2 linked regions of the Xenopus tropicalis genome follow. The protein of the gene in region 2 binds, or shares a complex with, the protein of the main gene of each other region. Links are inferred from orthologs where the notes say so. Each region holds a gene or a part of one and is shown on either strand. Other genes may lie near its edges. The genes, in order: mterf4 and nsun4.

Region 1 (15,802 bases), on a different chromosome or scaffold from region 2:
TGGACTATGCTGTCTCTTCATAAATGCACGTTAACAATGATAGTATGTGAATGATGATAGCAGAAATGTGCAGAGGTCAAGCAGTGAAGTAAACTAATGCATTGCTGATTTTATTTTGCAGATGATGATGGTCCGGGGCTGTGCCCAGACAGTTATAAAAGCGAATGGAATGAAGAATTTCAGAATCAGCCACAGTGACAGTATAAAATATGCCCAAAATAATAGAATTCTTAAACTATATAAATGTGCCATTGTATCTTAGAATCCATAAGCAGAGTACACTGGAACAATATGGTCCAGTCACAACTCTAAGCAGACCTTACTGGTAATCTATGGTACCCTATACTTGGGAGAATGCAGAGGCTACACTGTTTAATAGCCAACCCTGAGCAATCAAAGCTTTGGACCAGAAATTCCTCACTCCTGGGTTTTGCTGGATCACTAAAGCAGGGATCAACAACCTTTGGCCCTCCAGCTGTTGATAGAGTATAAAGGCTGTAGTTCAACCCCAGCTGGAATACAGTGGCATTCTGGCATACCAGCATTGATCTATATAAGATATGGAACCTCTTACAGTAATATTCTTCAGTACATTCCACAGTGTAAATAGATCTGTACCACCAGCATAATGCTGATTTTCTGCACGGACAGACATTTGGGTGAATACAGTGGCAGTCATTCCTTCAGTGTCTCTACATGAGCCTGCTTTCATGCCAGGTTCAAACCAGTGAATTTCCCCTCATCCCCCACACAGTGTATCTGATTAACAAGCCTAGTGTTTTAACCTAAGTTCTGTACACACAGAATATTTTCATTCTTGGATACTTATTGATCAGTACCTTTTGGGGCATATAACTTGGCTTGGCTAAATTGGGCATTTAGTGCACATGGGACAGATTTGGGCTGAAACCCATCCAGTGGGTGCATTAACAGGATAATGTCAGGCATATTAATGTTGAACGGTCATGGGGCATAAGTGGAGTTTCACAAGTGTAGGATCGCCACACCATGTGCAACAGATCTAACGAAAGTTGCTGATGCCATGCACTAACACCCAAATTATATGAGAGTGCCCATGCAGATGATTAGGCAGTCCAACAAGATTCCACAGTGTGGTTTTGTCCCAATAGTGGTGGATAAAGGGGAGATTTTGTGAAGAAAGTGATCTTATGCTAAAGCACGGTAGGTGGTACCAGGCATGCTGTGCCAGCTAGTGGGGTAGGTCTCTCACGGGGATTAAACATCTGAACCATGCCTCTTTGCCAATCCAAACTTTGTGTTTGCAGTAATATAAAGTTAGTAGCTCTGACCTATTCATAATGCTTTGTAGCCTAGCAAAGTGCATTGTGGGGGGAAAAGGGGCGATTTGCCCCAGGTTTTTGCATCTGCACCCACTTTGTACATGAACCTTTTTATGTGAAGGAAGACGTGCCATCCCTTGGTGAAATGAAGTGTTGCATTTACACCTTGCTCTACATGAACTTATTCTACTTGCTCATTTTAGTTTGCAAAATTTTATATTATATGTTAAATCAGATGGAAAATCCCATCCAACTTTAAAAGAAAAAAAAAAAAAAAATGAAGTCATAATTTTACAGATGGTACCTCATCAGATTACACTGTTTGGCCTGGGGGGGGCCTATACTCCATGATCTCAGCCCATCTACCACCTTCATTTCTTTCTGTTTAAGATTTCATTTATTGTTATTCACCCCTAGAAACTAACTTGCTCATTATCAGTTACAATAATGCTCTATGTGGTTTAGCAAGCACTTACCAGCCCCCCCCAGGTGAAATGTTTGTAACTGGGAATTTGTGTTGGGTGCCTCTAGTACCTCAGTGTGTCTCTGAGTGTACTCTATCTCCTTCTGTAGTTCTTCTCTTTACACACTAAAACTGTGCCTGTTTTTATGAATTTTTGGATAGTGCTTAAATGTATAAATTTAAAAATGTATTTAAATATACAAAGTACTTTTGTTGTATCATTTTTGCCTTTGTGTTTAATTCTATATTCATTCAGACCATTTAGTGACTTGAGGGGGAGCCAAATGGATTATGTAGGCGGCAATGGGGCAGTCGGTTCGGGGACCGCATCAATGAGCCGATGCGGCCCCCGATCCGACTGAATCTTTTAACCTGGCCTATCGATATCTGGCCAATTTCAGGCCAGATATCGGTCGGCCAGCCCACTTGTTTCTGCCCCTACACGGGCAGATAAGCTGCCGAGTCAGTCCAAGGGACCGATATCGGCAGCTTCTATCGGCCCGTGTATGGGGGCCTTTAGAGAGCTGAAAGCAGGAAGTGGTGTTTTGGCTATTATGTTAGACATCTGCTCACTCCAGCCCTTTATAGATTACATTTTTGCCTAACTTTAGTGTAAAATTAGTGTAACCTGCAAGACTTTAGATGAGGTTTTTATACCTTATGCAAAATAAAACTTAAGCCTGTGTGTTAAAGGATTGTGTACAATGGAACATGTGGCATATTAGAACTGATCTGATCCAGACAAATGAAATGCCATTCTTGTCACTTGCTGCTGATTACTGATGTCCTACAGGCACTGAGCCATTAGCTGAAGGGACTACACAGATTGTGCCACTGTTCAATGGAGGGTACCATACACATGATGGCAGCTTTCTGGGCGGTTCAAGTTTGTTAGCGTTTTGAGAAAGTGACTTAAAAAAAATTCAGCAATATAGCCAAAGGTATTCTCAGTTTCATAAAGCTGAACACAATAACAGACAGTGTTCTGAAGGTTTCTGTAAATGAGTTTGCTTTATTAGCAAGAGGCAACTAAGGGCCTCGTGCTATTCATACAGATAAAGCATGAGGTGCTGGCTGAAGAGGATTGTACTTGCACTAACAAAGCCTTGTACCTCTCAGCTTAAAGGGAAAAATTATTTTATAATCATGGAAATACTGAAAATGGGTGGCATTTACAAAATTATATATTTTTTTTTCCCCATCTTGGTTTTCTACTTGAAGTCCCAAAAAAGTGTTACATGACTCCATAATCCAATTGCCTGCATCATGAGATCTCCACCACCTGGCGAAGCTCTTTGAACAAGGAGCCGAGTTCTTTCTCTAAGCTGAGAATTAGGCCTGTAAAAATCAAAATGAAAATATTTAGAGGGGGGCTAGGTTTGCACTATGGCACAGTGGGCAGGGTTTAGCAAGCAGAACAAACTCACTGTTGCCTCCAGTTCACTTAAATGGGAGATTTGTGACACTGGTACTGACACTGTTCAACTGGAAAACACCTTGGGAGCATTTTTTGGGCAGAAACCATTGCTGACTTAAGTTCTGCCATTTGAGTTAATAAAAAGCAGCCGTGGCTGGCTAAATTTGCTAACAGAATATTTTCCATGACCATTTGCTACAGTGCCATTAGAATTCAGAAAGATAACATTTGATTGGTTTCTTTTGATTATTGCAGCCACTGTTTCGGCATTTAGGGAATGAGGGGCAGTATAATAATAGGTAAAAACGTTGCTCTGGTGCTTGCAACCTATACTAACCAATTAGCAGTCAAGCTAGCATATGGTTGGTTGCTGTGGGTCACCAGACCTGGTAAAACTAAACACTTGTTATAAAGTTTAAATGGTTTTAAGAACTCATCTTACAAAATTGGATGCACCCCGAAAGCCCTTGCTTGGGCATATGTAGCAAGATATGCGCACATTTACCTGTATTGGCATTGCAGCTTGCTATGAAGCTTACTACCAGAGGCAGCTGATTAAACTGGACAACCTATAAAACACAAAAGAAGGAATCGGAATAATTAGGCGCACATCAGATTCTGTGTTGGATATTATCAAAATGTAGCGGTTTATGCCTTTCATGCATAAACGTATGTGCCCCTTGTGCAAGGGGAATTAAATATTTTGTATCCAACACTCACCTGTTCTTACCATGCCCTGCTTCTGCCTCCAGATATCACTATTTATAGATTTGCACCTGTGTATTTCGCCCATTTAATGATGTCAGAAAGAGGTGGATCTATAAATACCAAACTCGCCAGGTTAAGGTTGAAGTTGGGTGAAGGTCAACTTTTTGTCAACCCGCACAGTAAAGACCTGCAGAATATCCGTTAAGTGTTCAGGTCTCAGGTAGGACGTTCCCAATTCACCAACCGGCAAGGCAGTCGGCATGTATCCTGTCTGGGTATCAGTTCAGCTGTGGGTCTAAGCCCTCTCACCCACCCCTAATGATTAAGGAATTTTTTCCCTTTAGCTGGTTGATCCACCTTCTAAGTGACATGACTTTCGGGCTCACAGGTCAGATCAGGCCCAGATTTGTTGCGAGGCCCAGGCCTAGGGCGGCACGCCGCCCATCTGCACTTAAACTTTGCTCACATACGGAGGACTGGGGACAGGACGTGCAAAAAAACTTCAGCCCAGTGCTCTGTACGCGAGCTAAATGGATGCGCATGTGCGCGGCCCTGAGTGGGGGAGGGGAATTGCAGCGGCCTCTGGGCACCGTCATTTGAAATCTGGCGTTGTGGGTGATAAGTAAACCCCTTGTTGGTGCAGGTTGCGGGTTCAGGTTAGGGTTAGGCATGGGACCCATGCAGGACTCTACCGCATATCACTATTGGGCAGGTATCTTGTTAAAGTGACTGTAGTCTGGCCTAGATGTGATGAAAACCTGCAATTACCTGGTATGTGCTGTAGTAACAGATGATGCTCTTGTTTTTGGAGAGGCCAAGCTTGCTTCCCTGGTCTGTAGCTAGTGCAAATGTAGAAAGGAAAGCCGGTCTCAATGCATGCTCAGGGGCATTCTCATTGGCAACTGAAATGGGATGAACAGAGAGCAGAAAGTCACAAGCAAAGCTAGAATCTGGCAGAAAAATGGGCCACTCTTATAATAACATATACAAATCAAATAAGAACATATTTACCATATAAAGTGTTGCTACAGATATGCTATAAATATGGAAGCAAATGAAGCATCATGGAGAACCAGAACCTAGGTGCAGCCTAATGCATTTACACTTGGAATCCCCTCCCTGATTTCCTCCGGAGAGTATACTCCCTCAGTCTTTTTAAAACCAAACTAAAAGACTACCTTTTGTAGCACTCACCCAGCACCTGATCTGGGAAATAGCACTTTTATTGTAGTGTCACTCACTGTGACCTACAGCACTTATACTGTATTTGCCTATTTGTGTCTCTCATATAGATTGTAAGCTCTACGAGGCAGGGACCTACATCCTCTTGTGTCTTTGACTCTTAACTTGCTGCAACTGTATCTTGTATTTATTTGTGTTTATTGTTATACTTTGTATTTATCTATTATTATCTTAATAACCCCCTGTTTGTATTAATGTATTCTACTGTACAGCGCTAAGTACATAAATAGCGCTTTATAAATAAAGATATACATACATTCATTGAGATAGTCGCACTAAGTTGCATGGCGGTTTAGTTAGTGAACCACTGTCTAACCAGGGATGTAGGATGTGACACTACTACAGCAGGTGCTGGGAGTTGTAGAGAGTTGCAGGTTGATTATGGATTGGCTTCACTATAGCAATGGATGATATTCCCATATGTAATTCTGATATTTCTAAATATAAGCCTGACTATATAGCCTGTTAGACAATGCACAAACGTGGCAAAGAACACATGCAAAGTCAGTGAGTGCGCAGAACCTTACCTTTAATAACCGGCACCCCATCTCTGTCTGACACAACAATAGCGTGGAGTTCATCAACACTACAAAAAGAGGAGTTACAAATAGTTGTGTTGCACCAACTTACTGCTGGACCCTCACTCCCTCAATTACAGCCAAGCATCTAATGTATCTGTAATTAGATTAACCTTCCATCCAATCACAGGAAGCCTTTCAAGTCTACTATCAGTCCAACAACCAGACCAATTACTGAGGTGCAGAGAAGATCAAAGCCATTGATCTGAGGGACTGATTGGCTGAGGGACCAACTCACTTCTGGGCTGTAAACAATCCATTTAAATTCTGCATTTTTATTTAATATTTTATCACAGTCCAGTAAAATAACCCAGATGTTTTAATTTATGTAAGTAATAAATTATTATTATTAAGGAGTAACCTACCTTGTTAACTTCTTGTACAGGAATCTCCGTAATTCCTAGTTAGGAAGGGAATGGAACAGTTATACAAATATAGTAATCTAAATTCTGTAAACCATAGCAAAGCTTTCATATCATCTCTAGCTCCTAAACCTTATCTACAGAACAGACCGCTATCTACGGGTGCCATCCCTACCCTATGGTGCTGTATCACTCTTGGTATTACTCTTCCATCAGCAGCCAGGCTATGCTAGGAGCTGCTACATCCAATAATGATTAGAGAGAAAATGGAGTAGTGCATCTCAAAATGTATAGTACATTAACAACTCATAAACTGGCCTGAAATAAAATACTTTTATGGGGGGCTTAGAGCTTTTAAAGGGATACTGACATTACATATAAAGTCACTGGCATACAGGTCAGCCCCCAGCTCACTTAGGACATGCTGCACAAGTTGCTGCCTTCAACGATGCAAGTGCCAGTCAATCTGACTTCCTAAGTATTCTTATTATATTGGGCCAGGGTTTTCAAAATGGCTGCTAAAAAAAAAAAAAAAAAGACATGCCTAGGAAATCAGCTCCTATGTACATTTACATACCAAGTAAATAATATCTGCATCCTTTTGTTTGGAAGAATGTGGAATCCTTTCAGACTGTATGCTCTTTTGGGCAAGGCCATTTTTACCGCTTGGATGAGTTAATGGCTTATTTGTATGTAAATCTCTATGTTCCATGCACTACACTGTATATGCCCATTTATTGTACAGTGCTGTGGAACTTAATAAATACATGATAATTCTCGATGCAGTGACAACCATTGTAAACTGCAGCATTTATTATTCTCCAAATTAATTGTTACCTGCCCACTTATAAACTCAATAGCGCAGAGACCTTCATTTGACACAGCACTTTGTATTTATTTCTGTTTATTGTACTGATTAATGTGCTGCTGCTGTATAGCGCTGAATCACAAGGGGGGCTATATAATTAAATATATATATATATATATATATAAATAACAGCCTGATGAATGACATACTCACTTCTGCCATAGCTGCACTCTTCTGTATGTTATTTTAATCTGTAAAGACAAAACCTTATTATCACAATACATAATAAACAGTATTTTGCTTGCCTGTATTTATAATTACACTTTTTAGCTTAAACAACTGAATGCTCTGTTAATTATAAGTTAAAGGAGAAGGAAAGTCATTTTGGCATTTTACTGCCAATAGATTCACCACATTAGTGCCACCTTGAACACTACATTTATTCTGCAGGAAGCTTTACTATACCTAGAAGCCTTAGAAGCTTTGCTTAGGATAGCAGCTGCCATTTTAGCTTGGTCTTCATTGCTTCCTGCTTGCAGTCTAGCCATTGGTATCTCAGATTACAAATTCCTAAGGGTGGGGGGAGTGAGCTATATGAATTCTTATGGGAGGGGAGAGAGCTGCACAGACTCTGTCCCTGGGAATGAAGGATTTTTCTGAGAGAGGAAGTCAGATACCCTAAGAACATGTTTACAAAAAAGGAGACAAGAAATCCTGTAAGTTTCTTTTGATAAGAGAAGTCAGTGCAGCGTTTCTGTGAGTGCTTATGGCTGTATTTACATAGACCTTTCTGATAAAGCTTACTTTCCTTCCCCTTTAAATATGATGCTCTCAGCAGAACTAAAGCAAATAATCTGCTTCCCCCAGTGGGTCCCAGGACTATAAATATCAGTATAAAACCGGGAAGCTCTAACACAAATAATGGCGGGACCAGGGAAAATATCCATTGGTGACCCCTCAATACATTTGTGGCACTACTCCCCTCACCTTAATAGGCAAACTGAAGAGTTGTAGGCATTAAAGTAGAACTACAGCTCAACGACAAATTAACCTAATGACAATGTGTTATTTCTTTATTTTGTATTTACTTCCTGTTATTTATAAAGCACATAACACATTTCTGCAGCACTTTACAGAGATTACTTATAATTCCCATCAGACCCTGCCCTAGGGGAGCTTACTGTCTAAGGTCACATTCACACAAACCATGGTCAGTTTAGTCAGAAGCCAGTTAACCTGCCTGTATGTGTTTGGAGTGATGGGAGAAAACAGAAGTAACAGGAGGAAACCCACAGACACAGCAGGGAAGATCTGTGCCCCCAAAGATGCCCCAGTAGCCCCCCCTTTTCTGCTGATTCCCTGCACATCTCTGTGCTGCTGGCACTTCCCTGAGCTTAGGGACTGACTATATAATGCATATACAGAATACACTAGAGACAACAGAAGCTGAACACAACCCAGAGTGCTAAATAGCCTGAATACATACATCCCTAGCTGAAAGCCACTGCCCTGTGACTCCCCAGCTGTGAGTGAATGCCCGCAGCCCAATAACATTCCCCTGTGCCCCCAGATACCCACCTTCACTCAACTCTCTACTTCCTCCCTGCACCTCCTCTCCCCCTGTTTAGGGGAAGCTATCACGTGACGCACCTTGCCTCTAACCCCGCCCTCCCTCGGTCACATGCTGATGACATCACTGAGGCGCTTTGATGCGGCTGCTTGAGCGTCCCAGGCGGAAGGGTAGAGGAGGAACATGGTGAGTTCGCCTGGGCTTCTCTTCCTTCTGTGTCACCCTGCCCCTGCTCTGTAGCAACAACACTAACACCGCTTTCTGCTTCATTAAAATGCCAGGCACAGTTGCAGTGGCAGCAGGTTTTTCTGTGCTTGTTCCTTATAGTTATACACTGTCTCTATTTCCCTCTGGGGTACAGTGTGTATTGGGCTATGGGAGCTAGTATGCAGGAAGCGGGAAGTACATTAGTCGTTTTGTATAAAGTCCTATTTAAGCAAATGTAACTACTATAGTGACCCAGATTATGGAAAGCGCCCCCTCTGGTAACTCCATGTCCTGTTCCATATAACAGAACGAATAAGTTAAAGGGTGTGTAAGTGAGAGGCTGCTCCTCTCTGGGTTGGCTGCTCCTCTCTGGGTTGGCTGCTCCTCTCTGGGTTGGCTGCTCCTCTCTGGGTTGGGTGCTCCTCTCTGGGATGGGTGCTCCTCTCTGGGTTGGGTGCTCCTCTCTGGGATGGGTGCTCCTCTCTGGGTTGGGTGCTCCTCACTGGGGCTGTTAGTGCAGAGACCCCCCCCCCCCAGCCTGGGGCAGTAACTGCACTGTCTGTGTAACCCTGGGCCTGTGCAACTGATACACTGCTCAAACATACAGGCGACAGGGCCTTGTAATATGTATGTTTTATTTATTGAGCTCTACGGTGTGCCGGTGTTACATCCCAGGTACAAGTTGTGCCCAGATGGCGCTATTATCAGAACCATGTAAACTTGATTGCAGCTTTGCGCCAGACACAGTTACGCTTTCCACAGTTTGGGAATTTGTGGCTAAAACCACGGTACTAGAATTAAAGTTTTGCATGTTTCCCAGTAATATTACATATGTCCCGGTACATTTCCTGGCACTTGGGATTGGAATAACACTCTCAGAATATTAAGAGCTGGAATTACCCTTTAATAAGAGAAATATACCATATACCATAAGATTCTCTTGTTTGGAGAGTTTGCCAAAAGAGGGGATCCTTCTCCTGATATGCCCACCTAAGGTGATATTGGGCTAATTCCATCATTTGGCTCTAGGACAGGAATAGGAATCATCGGAGCGAGGACCAAACCAATGAGCCAATGCCAGTTTTTAGCCAGATATTGGTTGGGGAGGCCCATCAGAGGGCCCCATTAATGGACAGACCTTTAGGGTAAAGCCACACGTATGATTCTCGGTCATGGTCTGTGGATAAATACAGGCCAAGAATCAGCCCCTACTCTGGCATCAGTAATTCCCTGTGCCTATACCTGGAGCTGTTTCGTCAGCCTTGGTGTCAAAAAATACTTAGAATCACCTCTGATAAAACATTCAAATTGCACCATTGCACCAAAAATGCATATGAAGACATGAGTGTTTCAGCAGAAGTAATTCTCAGTATCCCCTATGGCATGGCCTGGTATTTTTTGGCCTAATATTGCTTCTAGCTGTTGCCTTGTTGCCGCCATATATCTGCCAAGGAGGCAGGCACACAAAGCCCATACACAGCCAGATAAGCTGATTAATAGGCCTGAATGGGGCCAAATCAGCAGGATGTATCTGCCCATGTATGGCCAGCTTTAGCCATAAGGTAACCAATTCAATGGTTTCCCTTCTTGTGTCCGTGTAATGAAGCCGCCTTCTTGCCTTTTTTCTGTATTCCCAGTGGGAGCTGTTTCCAAACACAATATATAATAGCTGCCTTTTTATTTACTGATATAACTGTGTTTCCACCCTAGGTCTCCTATTTTCCCCGTCGCTGCTTTATGCCCAGTTCCATCTTAGGCTTCCGCTACCTGTCCTCGTCCAGTCTTCCTGTTGCCGTCCAGGAACTTCTAGATTTAGGCTTTAATGAGGAGCAATCAGGAAGAATCCTCGCTCTGAAACCCAGGAGAGGTGACCCATGGCACACAGTGTCCTGTACCAAGGAATTGCTGCTCATTGGACTAAAGCCGCAGGCCGCACTCAAGATGTTGGAGGACAGTAAAGAGCTGCGAAAAGCAACTGTAAGAGAACTCCGAGATAGAACTGAGAATCTTCGTAGCCTGGGGCTGGGGGAAGGTAATGGTGTTCCTTTCCAACCCTTCTACCAAGCCATTTGCTGCTTGTGTTAATTGATTTGCCATTTTGCAGTGAAATGGTTGAATTTCCACCACAGAATAAAAGAACAGCTATGGCTTCCAACATGTGTGTAACGTTGTTTTCATAGGCTTCAATCGCTTGAAACCTTATCATATGTACACTGTTTCTAAATGTGACCTCTAGTTACCATAACTTCTATTTTATTTTGTCTTTGTTGCTGCACTAAGTTTGTTCTACCAGTAGAGGGAGCTGCTGCTCTAGTATAGTTCTTTTATACTTAAGACTTTTTCTCTTCTATCAGTAACAAAGTAGATACCCTTCACTTTCTTAAAGTTTCATATTGTTTCTGTGACTTAATATCTCCCATTCACCCCACCCCAGGGGCCCTGTGACCAATACACTGAAAGCACATTATACAGGCAGCCTGTAGAGATCTGTATGATACAAAACCATTTATCACATTTTATTTTGCTGTTTTTTTTTTTCTAAAAGGGTTCCTGCAGCGATCACTCTCCAGATGCCCGGCTCTTCTCTCGCTTCCTCGTTCCCATGTCCTGGCAGCTGCCAAATGCCTCAGACAGCGATGTCAATTCTCAGCTCTGCAGCTGACTGATATCCTTCGATTCTCCCCAGAAGCCCTGACATATGACCCCAGCTACCTCGAAGAGGCTTTTCAGGTGATTAACAAAACTATCAATGAATATAATAGGTACTGATGCATGCAAAACCAAGATACTGCCTCCTCTCAGGATAGGAATATATTGGCAACACAGAGGCACTGCTGCTATTACACAATATCCTGTGGAACTGACTGGCTCGCTGGCTAACATGGATTTCATGCAGTTTCATGTTTCTTAAACGAGTGCTTACAACTGAATGGATATAGGGCTGCCAACCCTCAGATAAATAATCTGCATTTGTCCCTGTAATATTTAAACATGGCATGTAATTTAGCTGAAATGCAAAAAAAGCCTTCACTTTGAAAGATCCATTTTTGAGCTGTGATACTCCATGTTATAAGGGAAAGGGTAGTTTAGCTATCATATTCTTTAGGCTAAAGCCCCCTGCTGTATCAGGTAGGGTACCATTCTGCCCCTGGCCTGTGCACCTTCTCTATAAACAAAAAATAAACAAACCCACATCATCCTTGGGTACTTGCTTGCAATATGCCAAATCCCAATCCTTTCCCATTTTTTGTTGCTTGGGTTTGTTGTTGGGTTAGAAAAATATGTTCAAAGTCTATCTTTTATTTATTACATATTGTATAAGGAATGTTACCAAGGGCGTTTTCATGGCCAGGATGCCCCTCTGAGAATCAAGGGGAATGTCATATCTGTCTTAAAACATGTAGGCCTGACCACCTTACACTTTACCTTTGCAGTATGTATATTTCCGGATGGGTGCAAGCCACAAAGACATTATAACATCTGGCCTATTCCAGACATCACTGGATGAAATCAGGGTTCGGCATCAGTTTCTGGAGCGCTTGGGAAGATTCCTACCCCCTGATAAAAAGGGGGTCTCCCCACCCTCTAACCCCAAGCTTAAGGAGGTCACGGCACTTTCAGACAGTGACTTTTTGGCACATGTTGCTCGGGTTTCTCCTGAGGAACTGCACACTTTCCGCAAAATATTTGCACGAGAGGAGCTGGAGGCTGGAGAACGTAAGGACAGTGAGGCAGGAAGGGACCACTTAGACAGTGGCACAGAGGGAGAGGATACAGACAGTGAACACTCTGGGGATAAAAGTGGAGAAACAGAAGATGAAACACACAAGAGACTGAGTAATTATAAAAGGAAGCAGAAGAAGAGATCAGCTAATAGACCTGTGAGACCATAAAGGACCTCCATATTGCTGTCCATTTAAAGAATGGGCTGCCTTGTTGCAACTTATTAAATGTTTAGTTTCTTTTTTCCTTGATTCATATTTGCTATATTTGTTCTTATGTAATACAAAGTGCACCTCCTTCAGCAGGAACTTTGTCTGACTTAAGGTGGCCATATGTAGCAACTTATTGTCCAGTGTATGGGGCCTCCTGGAAGGCTACCCAACTGATATCTGGCTGAAAATCAGCTTGACCTCCATCAGGCAGGTTAGAAAATCCCATCAGGCATTAACAGGTTGATGCAGCCCTGTAGGGCCCATATTAGGCTCTGTTAGGGGCCACTTTCTTTCTTCAACCAAATTCATCAGCCTCAGCCTGCCCTTGTCTCGCCGCTGTAGTACTGTATAAAGTAGAGAACAAGGCTCTTTGAAAAGCAGGGACACTTGTCAGAGTTCCAGTATGTGTGTATATGGTGGCAGAGGTTTAAACCATTTTTTTTATTGGTCAACATATGCTCGAGCCCACTACGGCTCAAACCATGGCAGAAATAGTCATTCTGCTAAAGTTCCATAAGTATCGTAAATACTTTGACATGGGCCCTCAATGACACAGAAATGTGTGTGGCCATTCATTATTTGTCTATTTGCACATAGAGAATGTAGATCTATAATAACTCCAGTTATAATACTGCAAGTAAACACAGGATTCCACTTTTTTAATAAAATGTTTTATTAGAAAACTTAGTCGCCTGGACAACCACACTAAAATAGCTGAAAGCTCAGCCACATGTATTGTCATCACCTCACCTGGAGGCGCAACCTAATTTGCTGTGAATTTAAAAATAATTTGCGCCTCGCCCTGCCTTGCTGTAAGCACTCCGTATGATAGGAGATCTCACTGCTAAACTAGAGATCTGAAATCCCTGGGGCTCCTGAAGTGATACTGTGTGTGGGCACCTACTGGATTAATACCAATCCATTTGGTTTATTAACCCCTTCTTGCAGTGAGATCAGTGGTGAATCTAAGGAGAATGCAAGAATAATAACATAAGGTAGACTCTGTAACCTGCAATGTATGTGAATATAATGTACCTTTGTTTAGGGCAGCTCAGTGATTGCAAACTTACAGCACTCTAAGCCCGCTCTACAGGTCTGGCACTTGGGTTCTGGCTGATTTGGTATTGGCCTCCCAGTTTGTGCTTTGTCCTCATGGGCCACCGTACAATGCTGACTGCACAGGTGAAGTTGACATTAGTGGTAGGGACTAACAAAGTAGCAGGAAGTACAAGGGAATGAGTTCCAGACCCAGTGCCTTTCAGTTTTAGGGCTGTTGTTTCTATGCTTGTGTCATTACTGGGAACATTTCTTACAGAGAGCTGACAATCTAAAGCACCCTGATGCTGTAATTACATAGAACCATCCAGTCCACGCTATAACCTAAAGGTGTAGCAGCTGTCCATGTACATTATGTTATAGACTTGAGATGGACATAGTACCACCAAGCTCCTGTGGACATGGGAATGCTGAATGGAATAACCCTGTCACCATACTGGTGCAGGAAGGGACCAGTTTTAGATGGTTAATAAGCTGGAGAATACCGCGCATCCGTGACACACTGAGATAAGGGGCTAATTAAGCAGCTACTCTAATGTAGTGAGGTTCTGTGGTACATACTGTAGGGCTTTCAGGCAGTGTGTGTCATACAGCTCTGTGCTTTGGGGCCCCTGAACTGGGGTATCTCGTGCTGCAGGTCCTTGGCTCTAGTAGTAGTAGTAGTCTGTACCAATGCTGTACAGACGGGACTGGATTGCAGCTGCTTACACTTGACATGTTTGTTGCTGTTTAGGATCTGATACAAGGTGTGCATTCAATAACAGAGCCAAACCATGCTCCGTATGTCCATAAAAAACAATTGTCTCCAGATCTTCCATCAGAATTATGAGAAGTAAGATCTTTGTCCAGGGAGAGGAGGGAATGCTGCTCTTCTGAACCCTTAGAGGAGGATGTGAAGGAGGGCTGCTCCGCAGGGATGCAAAGGCTAGTGCCACAAGGCCAGTACTGGCAATGCCACTGCACAATAAGAGAGAGGCCACAGAGTCTCTGAATATTGGGAAGGTGGAGACAAGCTTAGTGTCCCCCTTGGGGCAGTGTGATGATTAAGACCTTCCCCCCCTGCAAAATTCAGTGCTTTTAAACCTGCAAAGAAAAAAAAGACAATTAAAGTAGCAGTACATAGTGCTCTGCCATGCCCTGTAATCTGCCTGTGCCACGCAGTGCCAGTACACACACAAAAGGAAACAATATATTTGGGTGTTTGTATCACTTACAGTTTCAGCTGTTCAGGGCTTGGAAGGGATTCTGCTTTCTAGAAAGAAAAAACATTTCTGAGTCAGCGATTGTCCCCTGGTTATAGGGGAAACCTATAGCAATTTATTTAATTAATTGGAGGAAACATCCATCCTTTCAGCTAAATCAAAGCTGTCTGTGTGGGGGGGGGAGGCTTAAACTTTAAGGTAATTCTTATTGCCGGCAGCCAAAGGCAGTGCCTCTGTGTATCAGTGAGGGTCCCCAAGACTTGATTTCAGCTTGTTACTTACATTCATCAAGTGGGCTTCCCTTGGCTTTGCAGACTTGTGGCCTAACCTAATACAGGTACGGGACCTGTTATCCAGAATGCTCGGGACCTGGGGTTTTCCAGATAAGGGATCTTTCCGTAATTTGGATCTCCATAACTCATGTCTGCTAAAAATCATTTAACTATTAAACCCAATAGGCTTGTTTGGTCCCCAATAAGGATTCATTATATCTTAGTTGGGATCAAGTACAAGGTTCTGTTTTATTATTACAGAGAAAACGCAATTCATTTTTAAAAGTTAGAATTATTTACTTATAATGGAGTCTATGGGGGACGGCCTTTCCGTAATTTGGAACTTTCTGGATAAGGGGTTTCCGGATAAGGGATCCCATACCTGTAATTGTAACCAAAAGAGTCCACTCACTTGCTCTGCTTCTGCTGGTACCTTCACAAACCTCCCTGCTGCACACATCATTCTGTACCTTGTAAACTCTTCTGTACCTGCACACAGACATGGCATGGGTTAGTAGCATGGCAGAATTATTTGTAAACAAGCTCAAATGTCACTATAAAATACATTTATAGAAGAGCTTGATTGCACAGCTTGTACCCCCCCCCCCCATCATTCTTTCCTCTGTTCAGGGCAGCCATGATGGCAGTACAGCTGTAGGAAGCGAGAATAAAACCATTTTA
Region 2 (15,144 bases):
GTGCTAGCGCCCTAGTGCTACTTTGTCATTGCCTCCGCCGCTTGTCGCTCCGGCAGAGGCAATGACCGATCGAATCGCCCCGCGGGAGGGCGGGGGGCGGGGAGGTGGGCGGAGTTGGCCGACCGGGTTGCCTAGGGCGCCCGGTTGGCTTGGCCCGCCCCTGCTTAAAGTTACCAGGAATGGCTTTTTGCAGCCCCTGGTAACCTTGGGGGTGCTGCTGGGTTTGCGCCATGGTGTGCTGTAGCGCGTGACATCACTCCCACCTTTCACCAGGTGTTGATTAGAGGCAAAATATCAGCAAATATTTTGAATGAATGAATGTGCTGCAAAAATTAGCAGTGAAAATGTCACAGGAAAAAAAAAAACCCATCGACTTCAGTGTAGTTTGAGAATGTTAACCCTATCATGAATTTTCAGGACCTCTGCAGTTGTTCATTTTCAGTTCCAAGAGCATAGGATAATGCACAGAGGCTATGGCTTGTAAGTAGTATAGAAAAACAAAAGTATATTCCAGACCCCGCCGCCCCTGTGGTCTACACCCCTTTATAGTTACACCAATGCCATCTAGCTTTTGCTAAAGAACAGACTGCAGGAGCAGGCAAAGAGATAAAGACAGTTTTGTTTGTTTTTTTTCTCATAGATGAGTTTAAAGTGCCAAAGTCCAAACACAAGTCTTTGTACTCTATGGCAAAGGGGAGGCCAGTAACCAATACTAGGATTAAGCAGGAGTGAAAAGTTAATTTGTCAAAACACATTTAAAGGGACACTGACATTCCTATTAAAATCCATAGGAAAATGTCAGTATTACTAAACAGTTGCAGTATAAAAATCTAGCTTGTGAAAAGTCCCAAAGGCACCCACAGCTGAGCCGTACTTACTCGAGTGACACTCCAACAGAGTGAAAAGATCCTCTGCAGTTGTGTTCGTCACGCTGGTTTAAGGGCGGCGCAATCTTTCCATAGGCCGGAGTACTGTTTCCATTTGTAATTATCCTATGGAAGGATCACGCCAACCCCAATCCTGCATGACACAGGAAAACAAGGCAGCTCTTTCTGCTATTGGTCCCCTTTAAGAGAAGCAGGTACTGCTGGGCTAGGGGGTGGCTGTGGGGGACCTTTACTTGAAAAGCTTTTCATGCTGCAGCCACTTAATAATACGGACACGTTCCTTTGGATTTCCATAGGAAAATGTCAGTATTCCTTTAAGGTGGCCAGGAACCTGCTGATATCGGCCGACTTGCCGATCGGACCAGTTGGAAAATTTCGATCGGGCGCCATAGAAGGCGCCTGATCAAAATCTCCCTTCAGAGCTGAATCGGCAGAAGGAGGTAGAAATCCTATTGTTTCTACCTCCTTACCTGCCGATTCAGCCCTGAATGGTGTGTGGCACATCTGACGATGTTTCGTGCGACCGATGGTCGCACGAAACATCGTCAGATCGCCACGTGTATGGCCACCTTTAAAGGGGTACTAAAACCTGTACAGCACTGCTCAACAAAACTTACCCAGCTGTTCTGGACTACAAATCCCAGAACCATTTAACATAATGAGGGTTGAGCTATAGTCCAGTAACATTAGGGTTGTATTCTTAAAGTAATATTGCATAATAAAACTTTTCCCCAAACCTTGGTTTGGACGCATTAAGCACAGTTTTCTTATCACACAGATATCACTACCGTATATACTCGAGTATATAAGCCGAGGTACCTAATTTTACCTAAGAAAAGTGGAAAAACCTATTGACTCGAGTATAAGCCTAGGGTGTCACCAGTAGGGCTGGTGCGAGCGAGCCAGCACACAAAGTGTGCTCACACTTTGGTTTATCCCAAAAATTGCCCCCTGTCTAGCCTAAGAAATATATATAGGGTATAGAGTGTTTTAGACAGTGGTGGCCCAAGAAAGGGACTAGACAAGGTGGAGTGGGCAAAGATCAGGAGAGACTGGAAAAGGCAAAGAACAGGACCAACTGGCCTGACAAGTGCGGGACAGGTAGGAGCAAGTTGGAACAGGCATAAAACAGGACAGACGAAAGCAGGACGGAACATTTAGATAATCCCTTACTCAGCATTATAGCATTTACATTGTTAATACCAGGAATATATTGAATTCTTATCACTACTTTATATATATAGCTTGATATAAATGCCCATGCCTCAGCTTGTAACAACCAAAATGACTTGTATGGACCTTAAGTAACACAGACAGGGCAAACATTGGGCCTGTACTCCAGTATGACTTGTTCGTATCAGCTTTTGTTGTGACTTGTGGCAGGTGCAGAAAAGGAGCAGTTGTGAGTAAAAAAGGTTTCATTGTGGGATACAAATGGCAACTTACCAATTTTGCACATGACGCTTTTATATTTGTTTCCCCAATTGGTTGCCCTTCAGCTACTGCCAAGCGACTTAAAGTCCCGCTCTCTGCCTATGCCAGCTTCCCAGAAATATGCAAATAAGATATATAAATAGAGAAACTAATGAGATGCAATGATTGTGGGAGCTAAGGGGGCAATGTACCAATCTGCAGATCAATATTTTTAGCTATTTAAGGCTAATCTGCTCATTTGCAACACAGACCAGGACCAGAAAGGAAAGGATAGGAGGGGGGGAATGAGTTATATAGCTTTATGGCAAAACCTCAATTAGTGAAGTGAGTATAGATCACATGCAGACCATTACTATTTTTATATATAGGGCTAACCACTATTACAGTATGTCATTACTTGATAAAAGTAAATACTTCATTGAATCCTCTGATAAAATACTATAGAGATTATTTGGAAAAGTTGAATTGTATAGATATGGCCAGATTCAACAATTATATCAGTGAGAAATATGTGTTTTTCATATTTATGTAGGAATAATCAGTAAACAGTAAAACAGTTTCCCCGTGCAACCTTGAAGAATTTAAGAAGCTGCTTCTGCATTTCGGCAGATAAGCTCATACAGACCTCCTACCTGTGCGTGCTTCTGCTCTGCTTGGCGCCGCAGTCGCGCCAGTGACGTCACGCACCCCCTTCAGTTACTCGTGGCCTCATCTTAGACCTTGTAAGATCAGCGACGCCAAGCAGAGCAGAAGCGTGCACAGGAGAAGCACGCACAGGTAGCAGGATGGCGGTTCTGGGAAGCTGGCATAGGGAGAGCGCGGGTGCACGAGAGCGCAGGTACGCACGGACACAAGTCCGTCTGGGGGGGGGGCACATCGGCAGATCAAGCACAGTTATCACATCCGTACCATATACTCGAGTATAAGCCGAGGGTTACTTTTTGAGCACATTTTTAGTGCTGAAAAACTCGGCTTATATTCGAGTATATACGGTATATGTCCTTTAACCGCATGTCCGATTCCATTGTCATATAATGAAGAAACAAAAAGACATAATTATCTCTGTATGTAAGATTAACAGCAAGATGTCTGACATAGTGCTGGGAATCAGCATTCTTATTGGTCAATTCTTTTGATCTTATAATGAGATTTTTGGTCAGTAGAATGCTCAGTGGTGAATTTTCTTGCATCTATAATTATGTTTTTGGACAACTTCTAAAGTAAAACTAGGAGGCGCAGTGGGGCCATGTTATGGTTAGGTTTACAACCCCTTTAATAGTGTATGAACATACTTTGCAAATTATTTAGGAACATCTCCCCTTCCATAGTAGGGGTATAAAAGGTGCATACCTGAAAATCATTTGTAACACCCATGGTGACAGACACACAAATACACACTGACAAAGAGGCACACTGAATAATAAAAATAAAAAAGGAAAGCAACTGTCCCACACAAACAGTAATAATCTCTATCCACTGCTTGGTGCAGCTCTGTAATGGTCATCTGAAATGTAACTATAAGTTTAATCTCATAGATAAAAAAAAAAAATGATGTATTAGGGCTGAAATCCATGGGAAATTTTGACAAGATTGAGATTGTATATGATCATACAAAGCCACAGAACAGCACAAGATTGTCTAGGATTCTACAAAATCTGATCTTCACAGCTGTAATGTAAAGTCGGGTGGTGGGTTTTGTTCCTGTATCTACCTTCAACAGTCAATGTATTTCAAAGAGAAAATGGGCCCGATTCACTAAAGTCCGAAATAAGGAGTGCTATTTATAGCATGCGTTAAAAATCTTATCACTTCTTATTTTTCGCTCGATTCACTAAAAGGACACTTGTCATAATTAAGAAGCGATGTTCTTGGTGTTATTTATCTTGCAACGATATATTTTCAAGCAACGTGCTGCGTAATATGTTGTGCGCTGCGTAATATATTGCTTGAAAATATGTAGTCGCAAGATAAATAACGCCAAGAACATTGCTTCTTAATTATGACAAGTGTCCTTTTAGTGAATCGAGCGAAAAATAAGAAGTGATAAGATTTTTAACGCATGCTATAAATAGCACTCCTTATTTCAGACTTTAGTGAATCGGGCCCAATAAGTCTTGTCAGACACTGTCAGATTTTATCTTGTTGGATAAAGCCACAGCAGGCTCTTCCATCAGTGTGTCACATCGGATGGCAAATCTTTCATGTAGTTTACACCTCAGATTTTTGTATCATTTCTATTATAGTTTGACCCATGCAACTACATCCTACTCCTAGGGTGCGTTTTGTCGATCTCACACCACTGGAACAGGCAGCGGAAATGATTACACTTGGTTCCTGCATTGACACTTATACACAGGCAGATATAAATTGCAGATTCGGACCAATTCCCCAGTGTATGGGGACCCCCAACAGGCCTACCCAACCAATATCTGGCCTAAAATTGTCCAGATGTCGATTGGGCAGGTTTGATTTTCTCATAGGATCGGGGGCCACATTGGCCCATTGATGTGGTCCTATTCCCATCATTTTAATTTGATTGTTTGAACAATCAGTTAACCGAGATCTACTTGTTTGGCAACTTATATATGAAAACACTTCAGTAGCAGCCATTAAACCATATATTTAAGATCACATAGGACCGAAAATAAGCTTCACCACAATCTCAATTGAACTGAACTTGAAGCTAGTCTTTTAGGAGAGCAAATTGGTGTTCTCCCCAGATCATATTATAAATTAGTCCTCAGGCTGAGACACCCAGCAATGTACTAGGAGTTAAAGGAGAAGGAAAGATTAAAAACTAATTAAGCTGTATCACAGCTTAAATACAGCCATAAGCACTCACAGAAATGCTGCACTGAGTCATCTTTTAAAAGAAACACAGGATTTATTATTTTCTTCTTTTGTGTACACATGTTCTTCTATGTCAGACTTCTTACTCTCAGTTTGCTCCCCTCTCCCCCTCCCATAAGAATTCACTCATCCTTCCATTAGAATTTGCTCCCTCTCCCAACTCAGCACGGAAGCTACTGAGACTAAGCTAAAACTACAGCTGCTATCTTAAACAAACAGAGGGAGCTTTTAGGGCTCTTTACTTAGGTATGATAAAGCTTTCTGCAGAATAATGTCAAAATGCCTTTCCTTCTCCTTTAAGCCTTATTTCATAGCAGCAAATGTTCCATATGTATTCTTGGTGGAAATGGGGACTAGTACACAGGTGTGGCATAGAACTCTACTTGTTCATGGCATGGCACTCTGCTTTTGTTACCAGGGATCATCTAGCATATCTGGCCTGTGCATTTTCATTTAACCATTCAATGTACAATTCAATGTTTTGGAGGAAAAAAAAAAAGCAGAAAATGCAATAAGCAACACAAAATGCTTCCCCCCCCCCATACAAATTTTGTTTGTTCCACTTTCTTAAGAAATTAAATATAGCAAACAAAATTTCTAACATTTTTTTTTATTAAAATAGAAATTGAGTTGTCCTCATAACTGCCAGAATATGTAAACATATTAAAAAAAAAAAAAAAAACAAATTTCCAAGAACATCCTATGCGCCACTGTTCATACCACTATATCTGTATTCCATGATTTGCAACGTTGAGTTGAGAACACTTACAGAGGTGAATTAAGGTATAAACATATCTTCAATTCAGTAATCTTTTTAGTTTTTATTCAATTCTTAAAAGTTTACAGAAGAACATGGGTCCAAAATTTGCTGTGAGATGAGGAAGGACTAATTCTCCTACACGGCACCCTTGAAAAAAGTTAAAAGTGTTCTTGAAAACTTCCCTGAAGCAGCTAAGGTCCTGGGGTTTAACATGGACTCCATGATCAGAAGCTGCAAGCTCAACTGCCCTCTCCACAACACATTCATTCTGCAACTGTGACAAAGAACAGGTGGAGTACACCACTTCTCCACCCGGCCTCACAGCACGTAGCCCAGCCCTGGGGGAAAACATAGAGCTTGTTATTGTTTTCAAGAAGACAACTGGTACATTACACATAAAGAGCAGAAGTAAATGAATTCTATGATTTTATTTTAAGGTATATTGTTCTTAAAAAATTAGTGCAATCAAAATGTAATAATGCCGAATTACTTACACAAGCAGTTCTGCTTGTAACAATGGCAACATCTGGCGCTGCTTAGTCCTTATACGATGGAAGATGTTGTTTTCTTCTTCTAAAAGGGAATGGCGGTCAGTGGTACAAGGGACATCCACTAAGACCTATACAGCCAACATAAGCAAGTATCCATAAGTCACACCATTAATAAAATAAATAAATTATACAACAAACTGCATCAAAGCATATGAGATGACCATACAGGACCTTTCCAAACCAAAGAATTAAATGTAATCACAGAATGTTTTCATCAATTAAAAAAAAATAAAAGATAACCTTACTTCAATTAAGCATAATGTTTTGGTTTTAAGCATTTTAGATGAACCTGCTCTTTTCTTTTTCCACACAACTGATTTATGTGGGTAATCAAGCAGATGGAGAAAGGGTGATTCTGTGTTAATAAAAATACTAAAATTCCTACGTTTATTAATCTTAAAAAATAAAAAAAAACCAACATAATCCATTCCATGATAATTTAGCTCTCAGGGTAAAAAAGCCAAGTTTATGTTTTGTCAAGTTCAAAGGAACAATTCAGAGTAAAAATAAATTGGGCAAAATTGTGTGTGAAATAAAACATTTTCTAATATAGTTAGGCAAAAATGTAATCTATAAAGACTGGAGTGAATGGATGTCTTATTTAGTCAGTGACTTTGGGGGGGGGCAACGTGGGACAAAACTGTTCAGTTAGTTTGTGAGCAGACAGATCAGATTCAAAAGCAAACTAACTAAACAGATATGTCCCATAAGGCCCCCCCTAAGTCACTGAATGGTTACTGACTGCTAACAGCTCAGAGAGCTGTAAAGGATGAAGTAGTGTTCTGTATTATGTTATACATCCATTCACTCCAGCCTTTATAGATTAAATTTTCGGCAAACTAACTGTATTGAAAACATTTTTTATTTTGTGCGGTCTATCTACGCAGTTTCATTTTTACACATTCATCTGTTCTTTTAAACATTAAAACAACAAAAATTAATATTACGGCAAGGTAAGGATCTTAAAAGCATATCATAAGGGCAAAGTCACACAAAGCATTGGCTCCGCTTCTCTCCCCTACAACTCTGTGTAGCTGCATTGACAGGAACAGCTTCAGCCTAAATGGAGATTGACCCCGAAAATGCCCACATTCATGTTTCTCAGACTGATCTCATCTCAACTCCGCTATCCACCGCTCTGCCTGTCAGTGCAACGGCACAGAGCTGTGGAAAAGAGCAGATCCACTTTTCTCCACCTGCCAATAAAACACAGGCAGAAAGAAGCGGAACCAAGACTTTGGGTCAGATTTACTAAGATTCGAATGCTCCAAGCGTATTTTCGACAAATTTTTCGTCGCTTAGGCGACTTTTTCCATGACTGTGCAACTTTTTGATACACTTGCGCAAAAAAATTGGAAAGGTTTTCCCGCTGTTTACAAACGTTCGGTACAAAAATTTCGTGACTTTCGTGATCACCAATACGATATTATCATGACTTTTTTCATAAGCATTTTCATGATATTTGCGATCTTCAGAAATTTTCGTATCCAATCCGAATTTATCCCATTCGGGACTCAAACTCGTGATTTCATGAATCTGCCCCTTTATGTGACTTCCCTAAGAAGAAAGACTTTCATTGTGTTGTCTCACTAAGAGATACATAAGAGATACATGAGGATGGTAGCTGTAAAAGCATTTTCTGATAATGATAGCACCAATCTAAATATATTTTCACTGTGGAGCTTTATTTAAATTGACTCTTGAGGACTCTGATTCACAAAATAGTTGAAAAAAAGAATGTAAGGCATTATGGGAAATGGAGTCTTGGTTGGGGACAGCTAATTTTAGTTTAGTATTATACAATTACTGCAAAGGGGAGCACCACCACAATGTCAAAGCCTAAAATTAATCAAAGAAGGTGTGCAAGATCTTATTTATAAGAACCTAACTATAATGCACACCATGAGTAGGTGTAATAACAGAAAACTTGAAAAAATAAAATATATTAAAATTATCAAAACAGCACAGGGTTACCTGGTAAGGTGGATCAAACTCCCAAGGGAGAAAAAAGTCAGTAAACAATTGCACTACTGGGTTATAACACACGTAGAATGATGGATTATATATTGTATTCCTGAACCACTATAACTCAGACATCACAATCTAAAAAAGTGGCTAAAAGATCCTGCCATCAATGTTTGAAATCACACCAAATCAAACCTACACACAATCCATACAGTGACCCAATACAACACTCACCAGTAATGAGTCTCAGTGACAAGAAATGGGTCAAAGCTGCCCCAGATGCAAACAACTCCCCAGTGCCATCAGGTAAATAATAAAAAAGAGAGAGACCCTGCCTGATTTGAAACAAAACTAATTTTAATTTAGTCGGGCAAACTTAGAAGGGAATAGCAAAAGATTATTAAATTAATTGCACTAGTGTTCTCTGAGTAAATTGACATACATTTTAGGTTTATATTCACTTTAATCTTGGTAATAATCCAAATACTAATATAACCTTTAAATTTGCAACAAACTGACCCTGTCATATGTGTTAGCCTCCGCATCTCCCCACAGCCTTCCATCCTGCGACGTGATGCACACTTTATGCTCTGTACGCTGGGCTCTAGGAACATAACTACGCAAAACTCTGTGGAGACGGCTACTTCGGGAAGTAGACAAGTCATTGGCAGCAAGATATTCTGTTGAATAAGAGTACAATGGAAACAAATGTCAAAAGAAACTAAAATATCTAAAAGGCATATATTGATAATACATAGCGCTGCGTACACAAGTAGTGCTTTATAAATAAAGATATACATACATACTTCATAAAGCACATAAATGTTTGTTCTTATACCTAAATACAGAAGAATTATTATTGTTTTTATTTAAAAAAAGAACTTATATATTACACCAAGAGTCCCCAACCTTTTTTTACTCCTGAGCCACATTCAAGCGTAAAAGAGTTGGAGAGCAACACAAACTTGCAAAAGGTTCCCGGGGGTGCAAAAAATGGGCTGTGATTGGCTATAGGTAGCTTCTATATGAACTTATACCATATAGAAGGCTTTGTCTGGTACTACTTATGGTTTTGATGCAAATAAAGATTGCATTTTAGCCAGGAATTTAAAAATAAGCACCTGCTTTGAGGCCACTGGGTGCAACATCCAAGGGGTTGGTGAGCAAGATGTTGCTTCTGAGCCACTGGTTGGGGATCACTGTTACACAGTGATACACATACATACAGTATATTGCAAGTGGTTACATACGGCAATTTTCAGTTTGTAAAAGCGCCAAAGTCTTTCCTCCAGGCGCTGCACAAAGATCAAGAACACTATGACCATGCTGTACATCAAGAGCCAAAACAGGCAATAGTGAGGCGGCATCCATTAAGTAATACTCCAGGAGTCCAAAGCTGTCTGACCTGAAACAAAAGCAAGTTATTACAGCAAACAAAAAAAAAACAATATTTCACAAGCTTTCAAAGTCAAAGCAAGTATAAGGTACATTTTAACCACATAAAATAAATGCTATATAATGGTACTTAAAAAAATCAGTGAATGAAATACAAAATAAATTACCTTGATTGAGGAAAACGACTTATATCACCCCTGGAAAATTTGAAACATGTGAGTTTTGTATTAGAAAGAGATGAAAGCAGGTTTGTTGCTTGAGTTTTCTCTGCATTATTTTTCTGTCCAACCAGATTCAGAGATGCTTCACCTGATGTCATTTTTTCTGAGGTGTCCAAATTGTTTTGTATTTGCAATAATGATATCACATGTTGAGCCTCAGAGATAAAGTCTTTTGCATTAAAAGCACTGAGATTTTTCAATACGGTCTCCTTATGTGAGAAATTATTGACAAGAGCCCCATACTTTTGTTCTGTGAGAAGACTAATACGAATTGAAGGCCATAGATCTCCAAACTGCATGCTGTAATTCATGTCGAAATATTGCAAAGCAAGCCTTGAACATGGAATTTTTGGAAGGGTTGTTGCCTTAAAGTTTGAAAAAGAAACACAATTCAATATAGAGAAAGCAAAAGCAGGGCTACTGGATGGCCTTATAAACATAAACAAAAAGTTCAACAACCAAAATTAAATAAGTTTGCCCTTTATTAATTTCAGTTGAGCAAATATTAGCTGTTTAAAACACTTCTCTATTTCCCTGTGTAGCTACTGGAGTCCAATATAAACCGTGGATTAAAATTAAGAAGAACTGACAATAGCCAGAGATTAAGGATATTGACAGTGTCAGGAAGCTAAGTTGCTACATGCAATAAACCTATTTGGCCACTAGTGAGTGCTAGACACAGCAAATATACCTCTCAGCAGACAGCAGCAAGTGCTCTTCCTAGAACATCAGATCATGGGAGTATCCTGGACACTTTTTTTAAAAGTATGTTACTGGTTAAAACATTTCTTTTGATAAATAATTCACACAACACACATGCACATATATGCTGTGTTAGCTGCAACAGGACTCACTTTATAAGACCAATTATTATGTGGCACATATAAAGTAAAAAAAAAAAAATATATATATATATATATCAGGTGGAGAATATGCACTTTTTGGCACTCTGAACCTTGCCCGTATGGTATTCTAATGTTGCACCCCCATAATAGAAACTATTTGTGCTGACTAATTTTGGATACAGCCATAATAATATACCTGGCCGAACCGAATCTGAATCCTCAAAATCACATTACTTTTTGTCACATAAAAACAGACTTAGGATTCAGATTCGATTTGGTTTTTAGTAAAATCTTTCACAAATGATTCTGGGTTTTGACAGATCACAAAATAGTGCATTCAGCACATCCCCAATTGTTTAGTTCTACAAGAAACAACAGTAACAAAGAAAAAAGCAAATATATTAAATAAAATATATTGCTGCAGTATATCTGCTATTGAAGTCCTGAAAGTACCTAAATACAAACTACTATATTCTTATACTTTATGGATAACAAAAATGTGGCCCTCTATCATGCTGTTCTTGCTGAACTACAACATAAAAATACCAGATCCTTAAAAGAGAACCCTGAGCTATAGCATTACACCTTAGAGACTTGCTGGCTATACAAACACTGTGCAGAAATCTCAATAATCAGCCAATGTCATTACAGCAAAACATAATCAAGAGCACCGTTATGCATGTACAATTACTAGTCTGGTAAGAGCTCTCTACGAGGTTTTATGATGGACAGACACGGTGGTGCTGAAATGCTGATGTTAGAAGGTTGAATGGGGGAGCAAACTACGTCTTGTTAGATCTGTTTTCTCAAATATGAAACTTTTGCCAAGGTCATAAAGCCCTTACCCATTTTTTCTTGAATTTATGTCTACGAAAGGTCAGACACGAGTCATTGATCCTCCTCAATAAAAATCCCCTGCAGGCTGCCATGTTGCTGTGCACCAAAAAAGCCCTTCCGCCCTGACACAATGCAGGAACGCATTTTGTTCCGTCAACAGTAACCTATCGGTGAGCTCTAGCTACCCAGGCATGTTACTGTTGCCGAGCAGCTCTGGCGCTGTTAATAGAATGTATCCTTGCCCACCGTGGGAGATGATAATATTGTAACAAATCAGCATGCCAGGCTTTCACTGATTCCTTGCTTGTGCAAGCCATTTTTTTGGTTTTATGCGAGTACCCGTCAGTGGACTAATTTCAGTACCCACGCTTAGAATGTTCAGTCCGCTAAACAGAGAGATTTATTGTTCGCATAGAGCAGGATTACCTAGATTACTACGTTTAGCATTTGTAATGCTGAGAGAAACGTACCAGAGAGGGCTGCCAACTTTGGAAGTGTAGAGCAAAGTGGTTATTAAACAATGGCGATAGCGCAGCTTAGGACCCATTAACTAAAAGGGGTGGTTTACCTTCTGGTTAACTTAATATGTTACCAAATGACCTATTCTTATCAATTTTTCAATTGGCCTTCATTTATAATAGTTTTTGAATTATTTGCTTTTCTGACTTTTTCTAGCATTCAAATGGGGGCCACTGACCCTGGCAGCTAATAAATGATAGCTCTGCCAGGCTACAATTTTATTGTCGCTGTTACTTTTTATTACTTATCATTCTATGTAGGCTCTCCTCCTATTTATATTCCTGTCTCAATTTTAAACCACTGCTTCGTTGCTAAGTTAAATTGGACCCTAGCAACCATATAGCTGCTAAAATTCCAAACTGGAGAGCTTCCAAAGAAAAAGCTAAATAATTCAAACTGCAAATGATAAAGAAGACAAATTGCAAATTTGATAAAAATAGCACTCTCTGCATTATGCAGGGTTGGATTGTCCTGGTGGGAAAAAGCTGACCCAGACCCGATCCCCATTGCCACTCCCCCTGCTGAGCTCCCACCCCTGATCGGGCCAAAGATATAACAAAATAAAGTACACACACACTGGAGGGTAGAGCGTTGGGTGGGCAGTGGGGACCCCTGGAATGGAAGCCCAATAGGCTCTGCACACCTCAGTCCAACCCTGACATTATACTGAAAGTTAGTTTAAAGATGAACTACTCAATCTAACTATAGGGGGCACATTTACTAACCCACGAACGGGCCGAATGCGTCCGATTGCGTTTTTTTCGTAATGATCGGTATTTTGCGTTTTTTTCGGAAATTATCGCGACTTTTTCGTTACCAATACGAGAGTTAAAACTTGCGCGAAACGTCGCGCCTTTTAAGTTTTAACGCTATGAAAAAGGCGCGACTTTTCGGGTAAGTTTTAACGCTACGAAAAAATCGCCAGATTTTGCGCAACTTTCGGAATGGCTACGAAAAACTCGCATTTTTTCGCGCAAGTCGTAATGGCTACGAAAAACTCGCGTTTTTTCGCGCAAATCGTATTGGTAACGAAAAAGTCGCGATAATTTCCGAAAAGTTGTAAAGGCGCCGAAAAAATTGCAAAAAATACGAAAAAGTCGCAAAATGCTCGTTTTTCAATCGGAATTTTTCCAATTCGGATTCGAATTCGTGTCTTAGTAAATCAGCCCCTTAGTGTTAAAAGTCAGTATGTTATAACGTCTCACGATACCGTTCCTGCATTTAGGTTCAGTAAGTTAATGACACAGGGCCTTTGTTTGAAACAGCTGCCCAACTTTTTCACAAACGCCATTAGGGTGTAACATTACTGTTTGTGCTTTATAGTTTTCCTATAAAGCAAACTTTAAGGAAGACTTTTCTGCATGGGTTCTTTGGTTTGTCCTTACAAAGGCTAGCTGGAAAAAACCAATATATAATAGCCATAGCAACACACCAGTACATACATGTGTCTGTGAGCAAAAAGTGCAATTCTGTACTATTTTCCATTCTGTTAAGGCCTAGTGGCCTTACACACCATTGTCTGTGCTTGCTTTGTCATGCAGTGGATTGTTGCGCATTCCACCATGCAGGTAATGTACCCATCAGTCTGTGCACATAAGCACCACATTAATTACAATCCTTATATAGAGTTACTGTCAAGTTGAGATCTGGAACATGTGCATTAATTGGTGACAGTAGGAGTCAAGAAATAACACACACACATATTATATATATATATATAGGTCAAAAGTGTGGGCTGTACGTGGTGCTGCCAATATATGGTTATTGTACAACTTAAAACATTGATGAGAGTAATGAGAGTATTCATATGAAAAACTAAAGGGTGAAACCAGGCTTGACATATTTAAAGAGAAGTCATGTTTGACTTCTCTTTAAATATGTCAAGCCTGGTTTCACCCTTTAGTTTTTCATAAAAAACCTAATAGGATGGACCTTAATAGGATGGACCTTAGTGTACTGCAGGTATAAGTGCTGCGTACATCAGTAGTATAGTGGGGCTAGCAGTTGGAGATGAGTAAATCTGAAGGTGGTGTGTTTTCCAAGCTGTCCAGACCTTTAAGTACTCAACAATATTGAGTTGAAGGGCGATACTGCATTCAAATTTTTGGTTACCCTCAATTTTATCATCACTCTCTACCCAAGAGGGAATAATGTTGGTCTTTCACTTAAACACAATGAAGATTTGTACTAGTCAGACATGATTGATTCATTTCAGCGTCAACTTGGGTAGCCCTTTAAACTGTTTACCGAGAAGAAAGGTCTGTATATCAAGCTTGATTGTGTCATATGTAAGATCTAAAGGGATTTTTCTTTTAGGTCTTAGCCCAATTCAGAAGTTGCTACTAACATAATAAAAACTAATAACCCACAGCAACCAATCAGAAGACAACTTTTTCTGGTCTGCTGTTTGTTATCCCTTTCTACTTTAATTTGGTTGCAAACTGTTTAGGCTTATATCTGTTGATCAGAAGATTAATTTATCATAGCTTCAGTAGCCAATATACTGTAGTTGAGTTTAATAGAATGATTTCATTTTTTTTTTTAAGTAAGCAAAGCAGAAATAAGAGAATAAAATTGACTCAACACCAAATAGCTTTATTAACAGTCACAACATTGCTGTAGATATTTACTTATAGGCATCTATCCCACAAAATATTAGCCATGGTGTGGAGAATAGCACTGTACTGAAAGCAGGATCAAGGAGTCACAATCCATAGGATAATGATTCACAGCCAATGACCATTCAGCTCAGCAAACAAGTCACTCATGAGAATTCTTAATTAAAACATTACTTTAGGTTCTTGAAGACTTTATGAGCTACCTACAAGAGAACCAAAAAAAAAAAAAAAGGGGGACACTTTAATATGCACAGAGAAAGAG

Evidence for each region.
Region 1: the proteins of nsun4 (region 2) and mterf4 are in contact, whole or in part, in a crystal structure (PDB 4FP9), measured with the Homo sapiens proteins. The link is inferred for Xenopus tropicalis from reciprocal best matches to the Homo sapiens genes NSUN4 and MTERF4. Residues at the interface, in NP_950245.2 of Homo sapiens: Pro61, Ser62, Arg64, Val65, Leu68, Ser69, Glu70, Arg136, Gly137, Asp138, Ile139, Arg141, Asn367, Leu368, Met369; in NP_872307.2 of Homo sapiens: Tyr267, Glu269, Arg270, Leu271, Gly272, Arg273, Glu311, Glu312, Val315, Phe316, Lys318, Leu319, Arg322, Glu323, Glu326.

What each region holds. Positions count from the first base shown.
Region 1 is NC_030681.2:125,975,392-125,991,193, forward strand, and holds mterf4 (transcription termination factor 4, mitochondrial), read left to right. Parts: upstream 1-8,547; 5' UTR 8,548-8,632; coding exon 8,633-8,635; intron 8,636-10,366; coding exon 10,367-10,688; intron 10,689-11,201; coding exon 11,202-11,386; intron 11,387-12,090; coding exon 12,091-12,549; 3' UTR 12,550-12,676; downstream 12,677-15,802. Other genes in the region: pask (PAS domain-containing serine/threonine-protein kinase), read left to right, coding at 122-198; sned1 (sushi, nidogen and EGF-like domain-containing protein 1), read right to left, coding at 14,874-14,899, 15,504-15,610. UniProt on the Homo sapiens protein: Regulator of mitochondrial ribosome biogenesis and translation. Binds to mitochondrial ribosomal RNAs 16S, 12S and 7S and targets NSUN4 RNA methyltransferase to the mitochondrial large ribosomal subunit (39S).
Region 2 is NC_030680.2:93,251,665-93,266,808, reverse strand, and holds nsun4 (5-methylcytosine rRNA methyltransferase NSUN4), read right to left. Parts: upstream 11,858-15,144; 5' UTR 11,838-11,857; coding exon 11,754-11,837; intron 10,429-11,753; coding exon 10,010-10,428; intron 9,853-10,009; coding exon 9,698-9,852; intron 9,128-9,697; coding exon 8,967-9,127; intron 6,551-8,966; coding exon 6,426-6,550; intron 6,270-6,425; coding exon 5,993-6,269; 3' UTR 5,766-5,992; downstream 1-5,765. Other genes in the region: uqcrh (cytochrome b-c1 complex subunit 6, mitochondrial), read right to left, coding at 15,053-15,085. UniProt on the Homo sapiens protein: Mitochondrial RNA cytosine C(5)-methyltransferase that methylates cytosine to 5-methylcytosine (m5C) in various RNAs, such as rRNAs, mRNAs and some long non-coding RNAs (lncRNAs).